Oreochromis niloticus: one gene and its partner. The protein of the gene in region 2 purifies or fractionates together with the protein of the main gene of each other region. This does not show direct contact. Links are inferred from orthologs where the notes say so. Each region holds a gene or a part of one and is shown on either strand. Other genes may lie near its edges.

What was found. The genes of interacting proteins can lie anywhere in the genome.
Region 1: the proteins of cops4 (region 2) and ddb2 purify together in Homo sapiens (affinity purification with mass spectrometry; 7 studies listed by BioGRID and IntAct, counting the BioPlex papers as one, with this or other methods). This does not show direct contact. The link is inferred for Oreochromis niloticus from reciprocal best matches to the Homo sapiens genes COPS4 and DDB2.

Annotation. Positions count from the first base shown.
Region 1 is NC_031972.2:51,231,731-51,239,783, forward strand, and holds the start of ddb2 (DNA damage-binding protein 2), read right to left. Parts: upstream 3,078-8,053; 5' UTR 3,075-3,077; coding exon 2,918-3,074; intron 2,826-2,917; exon of another isoform or gene 2,822-2,825; coding exon 2,687-2,821; intron 2,608-2,686; coding exon 2,498-2,607; intron 2,293-2,497; coding exon 2,101-2,292; intron 1,936-2,100; coding exon of another isoform or gene 1,790-1,935; intron 1,589-1,789; coding exon 1,422-1,588; intron 631-1,421; coding exon 531-630; intron 296-530; coding exon 118-295; intron 1-117. Other genes in the region: kinesin-like protein KIF23, read left to right, coding at 3,564-3,577, 3,826-3,892, 4,902-5,030.
Region 2 is NC_031972.2:11,872,665-11,879,752, reverse strand, and holds the start of cops4 (COP9 signalosome complex subunit 4), read right to left. Parts: upstream 3,060-7,088; 5' UTR 2,957-3,059; coding exon 2,883-2,956; intron 1,084-2,882; coding exon 1,004-1,083; intron 905-1,003; coding exon 753-904; intron 639-752; coding exon 535-638; intron 443-534; coding exon 289-442; intron 197-288; coding exon 46-196; intron 1-45. UniProt on the Homo sapiens protein: Component of the COP9 signalosome complex (CSN), a complex involved in various cellular and developmental processes.

The DNA.
Region 1 (8,053 bases), about 39 Mb from region 2:
CTTAAAAATCTATCAAAGAAATGAATTAAAGACAATTAGAAAACTGATTGTTTCTTTTTTTTTTTCTTTTTTTTTAAAGTAGTAAGCATGAGAGGTTTTTCTATGAGGAAGTGCTACCTGAGTTGACGGCTTTCTCGTGAGGCATTTCGTAGAGGAAGCTTTTCTTGTCCTTGATGTTCCTCAAGTCCCAGAGCTTTACTGTGTGGTCAACTGAGGCCGTCACCAGCAACCAGTCGCATCGGGAGTTGAACTCTGCGTGGGTCACTTTGGCTTTGTGCAATTTGTCACTGAAAATCTGAAACATTAAAACAGAGCAAATCAATTAACATTAAATTGCCACAGAGGAGGTTTTGGATGTAGCAAAGGAAGACTTGCACAATAGGAGTGGTATGGAAGCAGATGATTGGCTTGGGCGACCCCTAAAGGGAAGGGCCGAAAGAAAAAGTGCTCTGTGTTAAATAAGAACTATAACTGATCCTTTAATTTATAAAAAAAACAGTGGAAGTCCTCATTAAGAAAGAGGCACACACCTTTTGGCCATCCAAACCCAGAAGTAAAAGCTGCCCCGCATTGTCTCCTGTCACGAGCATCTGCCGGCTTACAGACACGTCAACGCAGCAGTACCAAAAACTATGAAAGAAAAGAGCTACATATAAGAACATACAAAATAATGTATTCCATAAATCATAGCTTTAATTCAAAATAGGATGTAATATACTATGTGACACTTGAACAAGAGATAACATTATATACGCACAATGCTCTCAGCTACCTGTGTTTTCTCATTTACCTCTACTGATGTCTACCCATGCAGATAGTCATGCTTTTTGAAATCTGCCTACAAAGGGATTGAGTCTGACACTGGAAACTATGGAGATGAATTAAACTTCATTTATTTTTTTTAATGAATTAAAGAGAATGGTTTTTGCAGGACATGACCCAGTTACTCTTCACCTGAATCTACAGATTGTAGAAGCAGTCTCTACTGAAGTAATGTAGAACCATTTTTCCACAATCGTGACAGTAGTTAAATTTGGAGCATGGTGTCTCTTCTCTTTGGTCCTAGTCTTTTAAAGGGAAGAAGAAAGGTGGAGGTGTGCGCTCTAAGACGGGAACATGGGCAAAGGAAGAACACACTGAAATACTGGTGAAGATCTGGATCACCTTCTATTAGATGGCCTGTTATGGGCCTTGGTCGAGGATGCGCCCTCCAGTGTCCTACTAGATTTCAAATAGCATTCATTTTTTGTATTATAGCCCTGACAAATTTTATTTCATAAAATAGGAATAGAAATACGAAACCTTTTTAATGCTATTAAAACAATGTGGCAGCAGGAGTCCTACAGACACAGTAGAGGGAAATGAAAAAACTTTCCATTTTTCATAATGCCGAGCATCAGTCTTCTTTGGGAGTTTCTCACCAAACATTGTGGTGATCGTGGCCGCAGTCTTGAGTTCTGGACAAAACGGTGGGTGCGCGGCCCTCAAAACTCTGTGCGGTCAGTGTGCCCTCGCCAGAGGCCACATAGACTCTAGAAAGGTCCGTGGGGCAAAACTTCATCCCTCCGATAAAGTCTCCTGCTCCGTTCTACACACACAAATACAAATGTAGGCCTTTCACCAGGCAGCAGTTATGACTACAACTACCACACAGATGTTCACACCAGCACCCAACAAGTTCCCTTGAGAGATCTCTGAACTCTCTGTAAGAAGACTGATGCTAGACTAACCCCTAACGCTTTTTTATTTTAGTGCACAGAAGAAAAAAAAGTGGACACTCCAGTCTTACTTCAGTGTTTCTGTGCTGGCAAACACTGTTAGCGTTGTCCCACTGAAATCCCGAAGTGCTGTCGTACCCCCCATAGATGAGGTGAACAGCTGAGTGGGATTTAAGTGGTTAAACTTCATGTCTGTCACTGAGTCTCCAGCCCCCATCTAACCAGAGAGCCAACAACAGTGTTTCATTAAGTACAACTACATCGCACCGCTCTGAAATTCACCACAGCCTGAAGAAGCATCTGACCTCTGTTAAAATCAGTTTGCCGAATGTCTTTTTGATCAATCGAAAGAACAAATCAAAACCATTAAACAGGAACTCACCCCTTGAATAAAGGTCTTCTTGGCAGGCGCCTCAAAGTCCCACAGATAAATGTCTCCACCCTTGGACCCCACAGCCAGAGTAGTAGGATGTGTCGGATGCCACTCAAGACAGGTGATCCTGCGGTCGAAGGGGCTGCTGCCACCGTGGAAATGATAGGATGACAGAGAGCGAACGAAAGGTTCCTGGAGACACTGAGGAGACAAAAGAGCTAGATTCACACCTGCACTGAATAAATCCAGTAAGAGGAAACGAGAGGTAACAGATGGACTATGACTTGTGAACTTACACATGTCCCTGGATTAGATTTTTTTTTTTTTTTTTTTTTTAATTACTATTGGAACAGTGTGTGAGTATTTTGGGCAGCACTGGGGCCAGCACCACATTAGGCTCTCTTACCTGTCTCATCTGTGAGTGCAAACTCTGGCCCAGAGTGCTTTTGTAGATATAGTGCAGTATGCTTCCGTCCCAACCTCTCTTCTGAACTCCTGCAGACTTGAGAGCAGTCCCTAGAAGACACACGAACCCATTCAAGTGTCACAAAGACAGTGCTGTCACTGGACTGACGGTGTTTTCAGAGCCTCATACCTGATTTTGACGTTTCGCCATTTTTTTTGTCTCGTAGTTTTCTGGAGAGAGTTGGACTGGAGACCCCCTCAGGTGTTTTCTTCACTTTATTCTTTGATCCAGCTGCGGCTGACTTCGTGGGCTTGCTTTTCATTTCTTCCTTGTAAACACACACACAAAGCAACAGTTACTCGTCACAAAGCGGACGATTGTGCACCTGTCTGCACCTCTAATGTTCATATTGCTGCTTACCTGCGATGTTCAGTGCTTTAACGCTGCAGTTTAACAGCAAGAACGTCTCTGTTTGCATAACACGACAGTACACGTGACTATGTGCTGAAAAATGTCTGTTTTGTAACTTGTGTCTGTTAAAGCTGGTGAACGGTGGGTGGCACTGTAGATCCACCATGAAAACTCAATGTGCACCATGTTTGGAGTTCAAACAACTCAAACTGCAAAGTAAGGTAACGGCAACGAAATGCTCACAGAAGATTGCGATAAATAAATAAAAAATGTCACGTTATGTCAATGTCATGTTAAATTATTAAACTAAATAATTTTCATAAAGTATTTAAGAATTGTGTAAAACAAAGAAAGGATTTACATTTCTCTGGTAGCAGACATCAAGGACTATTTATGAAGATGAAGAATGAAAGTGGCTGAAACAAGTTTGTATATTATATTTTACTGCATTTGCCAACTTTTTTTTTTTTTTTTTTTTTTTTGAGGCGTAAGAGGCTCGGAAGTAAAGGCGGAAACACGTGCTTGCCGTTGCCAGATCCCATTGGTTGCTTCGGGTCCGTTTTGAAAAAGTCGCTGATTTGAGGCTTTGAGGCGGAGGGAAGATTCAAAACTAGATAAACAGAAACGGTGAAACCAGCACGGGCACCACGCTACGATGACGAGACATCTGTAAGTACATGTTTATGTTCTATATGTCGCTGGTAGGCTGTATTGTTTATGCGTTTTACACTATCACAAAATGGCGAACTTAAGTTTAAGGAGTTACGAGCGGACGTTGACTCTCTGCTTTACCGTTAGCAGGGGGCTAATTAGCCGTCTAGCAAGTGGCTTTGTTAAGCCATCACATAGTCATTAATGGCTAACGCTTACGCTTCTGTTTGAATTGTGAATGACTTTGTATTTATTTACTTTTACAGGAAGGGTAAAACCCCCCGCAGGCCTCCTCCAAAAAAACCCTCCAGCAACCAGACGGACCCAGTTGGGGTGAGTGTCCCTGAATTCTTAAAGGTCAACTCGGCAAACAGTACAAATGTGAATCTCATACATTCCAGTGGGTGGAAGAGAAAACATTCCAGTGAGGGAGTGTTTGAACCTAGAGTGGAGTAATTTACTGACAGAGTGAAAATTCTTCTGGACACTTTCTCGTCAACCTGACTGTGAGCCCACAGTTTCGCTCTACAGCCATCAGTTTTCTTCCTCAAAGGCAACAGATTTAGACTTTTTGATCTGGAAGAGTTTTATTGAGAGGCGTGCCACCTGACTGCCATCTAACTGAGGTTTTAAACTTGAAGATAGCAGGTTTTACTGCTATAATGTATGGTTTGGAGACATTGGCACTGACAAAAAATATGGGAGGCAGTGCTGGAGTTGGCACTTGGCAGAGTTATAGATGTTAAGATTTTCATTGAGAGTGACCAGAATGGCCAAGAATAGAAATGAGTACATCAGACTGACAGCTCAGGTTGAGCTGTTTGGAGGCAAGGAGAAGATCCATGGATGAAATGAATGAAGACATGCAGAAGATGTGAGGTGTGACATAGTTGATGCTGGGTGATGACAGGGTGAGATGGAGGTAGATGATCTGCTGTGGTGATCCCTAAAGTGAGTAACAGAAAGAAGAAGTAATAAAAGTTTCGATTGCTATCTCGCCTCAGTTTTTTGGGCCAACCAAAATTCCCCCTTTTTTTTTTTTCTTAAAAAAAATAAAAGCAACAGTTTAAAGACCCTGTCTGTGAATAACAAGACTGCTCAGTTTCTTAAGAAAAGTATCTTTAGAAGTTTCACCAAGTGGCAATAAGCTGAAACAAATGGTAGCAATAATCCTACTGCATCCAAGAATGTCAAAGTCTGTTTGGTGTTGTTTTTTTTTTTTTGTTGTTTTTTTTAAATCGTTTATCAGATATTCTTGGACAAATTAAATATCTTTGCAGTAGTAACAAGCTCAAAATGTATGGTTAGAGCTTGTTTTAATGTGTGTCATTTTGTTCTTCAGGTATACTGCCGTGTGCGACCCCTGGGTGCTGAGGATGAGGAATGCTGCATTGAGGTGATCAGCAGTACCACCATCCAGATGCACACCCCGGAGGGCTTCAAAACAAACCGCAATGGAGAATACAAAGAGGTAAGAAATCAGATAAGTTAGGAGTAGTTATTGATTAAAGGTAGAGAGATTGTGTGTTTCTGTTATTGTCAGGAAAAGCTGCATAAAGACTGAAACCAACAATAACTGAATCCAGTCATAAATATTGTTTGCATCGTTGGAAATTTCGTAGCTTACTCCTGTGTCATAAAACTCTACAACTGTTAAAAACAAATTATTCCATGTTTGTTTTTTCCCTCCATTGATAGAGTGCCAGGACTGGGCCTGTTTTGCCCTGATGCTTGTCTGTGTAATTTTACATGAGATGTAGTGATGTTGGACAGGTGGGGGCACACTTCGCAGTGTGTTGTGACTTTTGCTATCACCTCTCATAGCTACAAATGCCTTGAAGACCACCATTTTTTTTTAGTTTTTTTTGTTCCACACCACTAGGTGTGTCTATGGCTGTATCCCAATTCAGGGTCTGCAGCCTTAAAGTACGCAGCCTTAACGACCATGATACTATCCGCTGGAAAAGTTTCATACAGCATTGTTTGACAGAAATGAAGGAGAACATATTTTGTTCATTTGTTTCTACATGAGCTTTGTGTGATTTGATATGTATCTGAGGCTGAGACCACAGGATTGTAAAACATGATTGTTGGCACTCATATCTGTACTGAACAGTCATTTTAAGATTAGCTAGTAAATAACAATTAGCTTATGTTGTTCATGAGACTAAAGTCATCTCACTTTGGTAATGTAAATATAATATGGCCAATATTATAGTTATTATATTAATCATTATTAGTTATTACAGCAGTGAGTTTGAACTGTGTCAAATACTGAGCTTCAGTAAAGATTCGAGTTGCAGTTATTTATATTTCCTATCACCTTAAATCTTCACTCAAAGACAAGCATCTTTGACAGGTTATATATAGATGTATTATATATAAGAGACAAATATTGTTCTTTCAGTATGTTGGCATTACTAAATTTGGCTCAGTGCTTACATATATGTATAAAAAGAAAATGTACGAGCTGTGATAACTGTTTCTGATAAAATGAAGAGTAGACTGATATATAAAATATTCCTTTATTGGGTGAGAAAATCAGACCATGTCATAACTGCTTTGATATCTATTCTGTATGACTTAGAGCAGGGGTCCCCAATCTCAGTCCACGAGGGCCAGTGTCCCTGCAGGTTTTAGATCTCACCCTGGGTCAACACACCTGAATCACATGATTAGCTCATTACCAGGCCTCTGGAGAACTTCAAGACATGTTGAGGAGGTAATTTATCCATTTAAATCAGCTGTGATGGATCAAGGACACATCTAAAACCTGCAGGGACACCGGCCCTCGTGGACTGAGATTGGGGACCCCTGACTTAGAGCCTTAAACAGGCTGACTTCTGCTAAATGGGTCAAACTGGGCAAAAAGTATACAAACACATAACATCCTTATAGAATATCATGTAACACTATAGATCAACTTACCTCAGAATATATAAAGCATATAAACAATGACAGCAATATGATGCAACAAACACAGCAGTACTACTAATCCAAAATACTCAAAGCTTCATAGAACTGAAACAAACATTTATTTTTAGCTCCATTCTGCTGCTGATACATACTTTAGGTTTCTGAATATTAAACTTGTTTCTGCCTTTCATCGTGTTTAACTTGAAGGCCCTGAGTACTTTCTCCCACACTGAAAACACTGGAATGATAAAATTATTTGAACATTACCTACTAAGACTGATTCAGGACAGACAATTAGTTATTTTAAACTTTTCTAGCAGTCCTTCACAAACAGGGAACAGTCTGTCTATTCTCTCCATCTGTCAGCTGCTGCTGGCTCTTCCTCCTCCTCTTCCTCACACACTGCTGAGTTTGTCCTGGTGGATCATCAGGGGTGCAAAGCCTCACAGATGATGTGCAGCAGTGGGTCCCTCAGTCTGTCCTCTCTCTGGACACTTGCAGTTGTCACACATGGAAATCAAATGTGTGATAAGCTGCAGGATTCAAACACAAGTGTAACTTATAAATACATGTTCATACTTTTATTGCAAAATCAGAGAGAAAGAAAAAGAGAGAGAGTGCAGGACAGACAGGCAGGTGACAGTCTCAGGTGTACACACTGCTACAAAACAGCACAAGAGAAGGAGAAATTAAGTGTTTGTGTTATTACGAGTGCTAAACAAGAAGAGTTCCCAGATGGTCCAGTGGACACGTGTGACTCCTGTGATTAAAGCATCTTTCTTTCAGCTTAACGAGTGAACCGTCAGCTCGTTCAAACACACGTTAAAGTCCGTTTGGCTCGACACCACCGAACAGAGGCAGCAATATAACATAGCTAACATTAACAGTGCAGTGAATCCTGCTTGTGCCGTGATATTCAGGACTGCAAACCGAGCAGCATCACTGACTTTCAGCTTGTTGTGTTTGTGGATATATGACTGACTTTAATTATCCATAAAATCATCACATTCTCTGTAAGATTAAGGTCAACCATTGAACGGCGTATATGTTATAAAGTGCACATAAATAAGTGACATAATATTCACTATTTACTTTTAAAAGTTTACTCTTCGGCCGCCCCTCTTCCGTCGTTTTTTTTTCTCGGCAAAATTATCCACACCCACCGCCGCGCTATGAAGTCTGGGATATGTTGGGCCGTGGAGGATACACGGACCCATCCTTAAAATTCAGGAAAATGAAGGACGCATTTGAGGGCCGCATTTCGAGCAGCCTTTGAATTGGGACAGCCTTCGTCGCATCGCTGTGACGTAATCGGCCTTAAAATGCAGCCTTTAAGGCTGCAGAGCCTGAATTGGGAAACAGCCAACATATCTGTTTCCCACCATCATGTGCAGTTACCTGAAAGAGCTGTGAGAATGCAAAAGTATGAAGCAGTCAGTCTTAACCATGCTAGCTAGCTACCCAGATTGACTTATTTACCATCATGTATAAAAATCAATCCCTTCTTATTCAGTCCACATCATTTTGCTGCATCTCCATATCCCAAATATAGTCTGTTATAATTTCGTATAATATCAA
Region 2 (7,088 bases):
TAGTTCTCATTACATTATTTCTGAAAATGTAACACCTGCTTATACCTGCAGAGGCCAATATGGTGCAGTTCAGAGCATGCTTCAGTGCCTCCAGGCGTTCACTTTCATGAACAATTGACTTATAAGACAGCTCGTTGTATCTTTGTGCAGCTTCAATAAACTTCCTTCTGAAGTCTAGTACTCTGGCATAGCACACCTAATGAGAGCAGCATAAGCACTTATCCACACAGCTTCACTAAAACAACAGATAAGACTATGTAACTATGAAATCACTAAGCGATCATGTACCTTATAGTGTATCTGTAGCTGTTCATTAGAGGACTCATTCTGAAGCAATGAGGCTCTGTTGATGTAGGCCTCTGCCTGAACCGGATCATCATCTTCTAAGTAAAGTCGGGCAATTTTCAGATATGTATCCAACTTATAGTCAACATTATATTGCCTGAAGGAGATATTTTAAAAAACAAACAAAAGAAACAGGGATTTAAAGAAACAATTACCATCAAGACTTGCGTGTGACAATAGTTTACTTACTTCTGTCCTGTTTCGAGGGGAATGCCAACTAAAACTTGGGCAGCATTTCTCCAGTCTCCCTCCTTTTCATAAATGGTCGCTAAGTGCTGTCTGATTGAGGCTACCTGAGGAGATGGAGGAACATTACTCAGTTAAGCACTACAGTGACAATACTCAAGCTTAACTACCTGAATGGTTACCTCCGTTTGCACTGCGTCAGAGAGCTGGAGCAAACTTACCTGTTCCTCGAAGGAAATGACCCTCGGCTGGATCTTTTCCAAGGTGAAGTGATACACTGCTTTTGCTGTGGCGTCAGGCAGGTTGGGCAGATGTGTGCAGAAATCAGTGAGCAGCTGTCTTGAAATGACGAGACTGACATTTTCATTGACCACTGCAAGAATGTAAAATATAATAGTAAGACATACTCCTGAAAAATGAACCAAGGACGAAGAATAAGCAGATATTACAGAAGAATACAGGCACACCATACTTGCTTCTACAAAGGCCTTCAAGGATTCCAGTTGATCAGCATCTGTAAACTGAATGGCCTTTTCCAGAATTTGTCGATATCTGCAAAAGATTTCACCGGTCAGAAACCTTCCAACTTTGCTGGTAAGTTTAAAATGTTTACATAGAAAATCGAAGGATTAAAACTTAAATATGAAACACAAATACATTTTAGCTTATTGGATGAAACCCAGTGTTTTCCCCACAGATTAACTTTACTTGGGCAAGGTATGGGCATGGCTGCCCAAGTGCATCTGTCAAATCTTTATCTTTATACATGTGATGCTACAATGAGCTCACTAAGGCTACAGAGCAGAACAAGGCCTGCTGACACCCAAATAATCTCCAGGATGATGTAACTGAAAGTCATTTGCAGTATAAGAGACTCACTGATGAAGCAGCCAATAATATTCATATTCATCAATATTGTTAAAGCACATCTAAGACCCTCCCTCACCAGAAACAGATTGTAAATCTGTGGGAGAAACTGCATAATCCCATGTATACTGTATTCCCTTATGATATAACATATATATTATTATGAATTTAAAAAATAATTTAAAAAACCCTCTGACTGCTTGGTTGTAAAACTGCACCGTCATTTGTCAACTGCACCATCTAACAGACGTTGTGTCACAACCCTATAATAGTCTACAATTAATATTTAATATTGTCGAACACTATGACAGAACATCACAGACACTATGATGACACTGTGACACAACTAAAATGTTGTAAATAAATAGCAAAATGTACAAACTGAGAAGTATGGACTTATTTTGTGAGAGGAAATTTTGAATTTATTATTTTGAAATGAGTACCAAAAAAAGTACCAAAATCGAAGGAAAAGTACCCAATCCATTCGGTAAATATCATTTCATAAATAAATCTGTAATCAACATGTCACTAAAGTGCTCTGAACATAACAGAACTATGCACATAAACACCAGTTCACATATAATTACAGCAATGAGTCTGTGGTCCCTTACTTAAGAGAAGTCGATGCATTTGATTGTGACTTCTGTGAAAAACAAGTGTATTTAAGCTTGAGTGAATTAAACCCCCCTTTAATAAACAGCTATTTAAATATTTCCATTTTAATTAACCATTAGCATATACTGTGGATAAAAATACAGTAAACACTTTCTTCTTATACAAACACGTATACAACAGGACCTAAAAGATACCTTTTAAATAGATTTATCACCTTTTGGACAATACTGACGAAAACTGAAATTGCAAAAGTAGACTTTACAGCACAGTTGTACTTGGATTGCATAGGTGTTCCTAATAAAGATGTTGTTTATAGGATGGTAAGAACGTACGCAAAGGGTGTCCTGGCAGTTTTCTAGTCAAGTATCACTTTGTTCAAACTGTATTTAAGCTATATTTAAGCTATTTTAAATTTGTTTATGTCTTATGCTTTTATGATTGTGTAAACTCCTTGCTTTTATGTTGCTTTTTACTCTACTGTGTACAGTGACCTTGAGTGTTTTGAAAGGCGCTTTCAAATAAAATGTATTATCATTATTATTATTATTATTACCTTGTGCTCTGCACCAAATGTGCAGCTAAAGAGCAGCAAGTTAGCTAGTTAGCTTGGATGATAAAATATACAGTTCTCATAATTATTTTACCAACAATTAATGTGGGTAGTCACTCCTTTTATGTTCCTTGCACTTTGGATAAAACCTAAAAGCAAACATTGACAGACTGATTGCGTTTCTATCTGGTTTATCTGGATGTATGGCTAATGCAGCTAACGTTAGCTTAGCTTTGTGCAGACCAGTATCTAGCTGCTAGCTAGCAGTTTCTGTTGCAGTTTTTAACGAGTGATGTTCTCCCTAACTAACGTTACATACTTGGCAGCAAGATCTTTATGAGATCCACTTGAGTTCATCAGTTGTGTAAGCTCCTGCCTCACTTCGGTCGCCATTGTAGCCTGTGTCGAAGTGTCAACACCGGTTTCCTCTGCCAAGACAGGGGAGAGCCTTCCGTCTGCAGTCAGAGCGCAGAGCTCAGCCAGGAAGTGACGCAGCCAGCCATGGGAGCGGAAGAGGGAAAAGAATGATTATAATTATTTTAGGCCAGGCTTAAATGTTGATCTATTGTATTACTTTTTTATTGTCTGAATTTTAAGTGATAATATATGTTTTTAAACAAAACTTGGTGAGTATTATAAACTATCCATCCCTTTCCTGAAAATAATCATAGCTATATTTGGTTACATTTTTTCTGGTAATTTTGTGTTTTAACCTAAAAAAGGGTCAATCTATTTTTAACACTAGTATCATCTGAAATATGAGGGGCTTTCTTGTGTTTGCGCAATAAAATATCCTGTCTCACAGACATGCTGAACAACTACATTCTGTATTTAATGCCTCTAGGCTGGGCTGTTGTAAAGCATTATTATCAGGTTGTTCTAAAAGCTCCCTGAAAAGCCTTCAATTGATCCAGAATGCTACAGTAACAGTACTGACGGGGACTAGCAAGGCTTTTTCTCGTTCACTGGCTCCCTGTTAAATCCAGAATCCCATTTAAATTCTACACCTCACATACAAGGTCTTGAATAATCAGGCCCTGTCTTATCTTAAAGATCTCATAATACCATATCACCCTAACAAAGCATTTCACACTCGAGTTACTGGCTTACTTGTGTTTCCTAGAGCATTTATAAGTAAAATGGAAGGCAGAGCCTTCAGCTTTCAGGCCCCTCTTCTGAGAAACCAGCTACCAGATTGCATTCAGGAGACAGACACCCTCTCTACTTTTATGAATAACTTTTCTTCTTCACTTACTTCTTACTTTCTGTGTGTTTATACAGCACTTTACATATAATCATTAGTTACAGCTAATCTCTAGTAGACTTCCACAGCGTGTCTTTTGCCTTGTCTTTCTCTCTGCTCTCTTCTCTTCCCCACACTCCAAACCAGTTGCAGTGGATGGCTGCCCCTGTACCCTCTGGCACATTCTTCCTGGTAAAAAAGAGTTTTTCCTTTCCACTGTTTCCAAGTGTTTGTTCTTGGGGATTCATTTGACTGTATGGGTTTTCTTTTTATTACTTTTTAAATGCTATGTAAATAAAATTGAATTGAGCTGACATTTTTGTCAAACCAGTCAAAAGTTTGTTTGTTTGTTTGTTTGTTTGTTTAAGTAAAATACAACTAAAATATATAGCCTAACTAAATAATGTTGGATAATAGTAATAGTAATAAAATACATATGACACCAGAGGTCAAGTTATATACAAGTGGTATCAGTTAAAAACTAAATATCTATAATCAACATCAGTCAAAAAGTATATAAGTATTACGCAAAATACATAAAGACATGCCTGATGTATCGACTTTTGTACAAGAAAAAGTCAGCACCATAAGAGCTCATTGACTATCAACTGGACCTCATGTCACTTATGATGAATCTCCAAAAGTTGAATCTGTTCATCTGGACGTAGTGTTTTGTGGGAGAAACGTTTCGTCACTCATCCAAGTGACTTCTTCAGTCTCAGCTGACTGCAGGTTTCCCCAAACCTTATAAACAGTACATTTGCATAATGACTGAAACCAGCCCACTGAAGGAACAATGGGCTGTGAGGTCAGTACCTTAATCATATCACGTACTACATTTCACAGATCACATTAACTCGGTGGACCGGCACATCAAATTCACCAGGGAGGATATGAAAAGTGGCAGGTTAGCCTTCTTAGACTGTGAGATTTCCATCAGTAATGGGGGACATCTAAAGGCTGACGTGTACTGTAAACCTACACATACGGATCAGTATCTAAGGTCTGACTCTCATCATCCACTGGAGCACAAACTGGGTGTCATCAGGACGCTACAAGACAGAGCGAACACCATCCCCACAGACACAGCGGCCAGGGAGGCAGAAGAACAGCACATCAAGAAGGCCCTGAGTAAATGTGGTTATCCCAGCTGGACTTTTGTCAAAGCGGGAAAGGCACCTAAAGAAAGCTCCAGCTGATCCAGGAGAGAAGGACAACTGCTGCCCAAGCGAAAACCTGTAGTGATCCCATATGTGTCAGGAGTATCGGAACAGTTGAGACGCATTTTTTCTAAACACCGGGTCTCTGTGGCTTTTAAACCCCAAAACACGCTGCGCCAAAAACTGGTCCACCCCAAGGATCAGGTCCCCCGACACAAACAGAGTAACATACTGTACGCTGTTAAGTGCCAGGAGGATTGTCAGGATTTATACATCGGGGAAACCAAACAACCTCTAGCGAAGCGGATGGCACAACACAGAAGAGCAACCTCATCAGGCCAGGACTCTGCAGTCTATTTACACCTACAGGCCAGTGGACACTCTTTCAATGATGAGGATGTACACATCCTGGACAGGGAGGAATGCTGGTTTGAGCGCGGAGTCAAGGAGGCCATTTACGTGAAGAGGGAAAGACCATCTCTGAATCGAGGAGGGGGCCTGAGGGTACATCTTTCGCCATCTTACAACGCTGTGATTGCAGCCATTCCCCAACTCAAAGTGAATGGTACTCATGGCCATTGATCAGTGTTCTTTGATCAGTGGGTTTTGGTCAGTGATTGTTGATCAATGGTCATGGGAATTTGCATAATTATGATTAAGGAACTGACCTCACAGCCCATTGTTCCTTCAGTGGGCTGGTTTCAGTCATTATGCAAATGTACTGTTTATTAGGTTTGGGGAAACCTGCAGTCAGCTGAGACTGAAGAAGTTACTTGGATGAGTGACGAAACGTTTCTCCCACAAAACGCTACGTCCAGATGATCAGATTCAACTTTTCGAGATTTACTTTCCTGGATGATTGAGAATGCATCAAGACTTATGATGAATGTACTGAAGAGACTACGCTGGCCTGCCTAAGACCTCAGGCGAAAACATCTCTTGACACTCTGTAGTATGCAAGCAGGTCGAATCTGGGAGTGAATCATGGCGTAATCTCCATGCTGAAGACAGTTTACTCCCATCTAGGCAGTAACAACTGCAGGGTGAAGTTTATCTTCTCTGATTTTCTGAAGTGCATTTCATGTGTTTTGCCACTGTTACTGTAAGAGAAACTACGGGACATGTAAGTAAACATGTCCACCACCTTATTATTTACTGACTACCTGACAGTGGTACGTGAGACTGGGCACTTAGTGAGGCTGCTGGGTAGTGCTCTGTCAGATTTTGGTAATGTCCAGCACACGAGCTCCAAGGCTGACTGTGTTGTTTGTTTTTTATAAACTAATAAAAGTTTTTATTTTCCCAAAAAAAACTATAAAAAAGAAGAAGAAGAAGAAGAAGCATTAAATAGTTTTGTAGAAACAGTCCTAACGTTGATAAAGCAATTGTGCTGTAGCTTTAAGTGTTACGTCAGTGTTTCGTATCGCGTGGAGGGCGTGGCCGGCCTGTGAAATGTCAGGGAGGAATGGCGCTCGGCGCGGTATTTTGAACAATCGTCTTTTCCTTTCCTCCCTTTATCTGGAAACGCTGCTTAGCTTAAAAATTTGGGGTAAGCATGACTATGCGTTGGCCCTTTCTAGGATTTAACACACTATATTCAACATAAAGACTCACACTAAAGAATGTATTCAATGTTGAGATATAATGTTGTGCTAGCTAGCTCGGGTTAGCAAGCTCAGCAAGTTTGCTAGTACAGTTGTCCTGCCCGCTGGGCTGTCTAGATGAGACTGCTGTTGCTGTCTTTGCTGCTGATGGTGATAATGATAACAATAACGATAACGATGTTTAAAGATAGACTCCGGTGAAAAAGCAGTATAATATTCCCAGGACTTGGTTCGGCAGAGTATTTTCAGCGCTTAAGGAAAGTTTCTCGTGCACAAAACAGGGACTTGGTGTAAATATCATGTGAGCCGGCCGCTAAGTTTACTTACTGCAACGGCAAATGAAAAGTAAAAGCTAAGTTAGCTGCACATCGAGTTTCATTTGACATACTGGCGAAACGTCTAAAGGATCATAGATATTTTTATATGTATGTAAAATATTAGAAGGCACAAGTCAGCAGTTCCATTTGCTGTTAGTTGTTTTCATATTACTTTAGCTGTTGACCCCGTAACATTCTTGG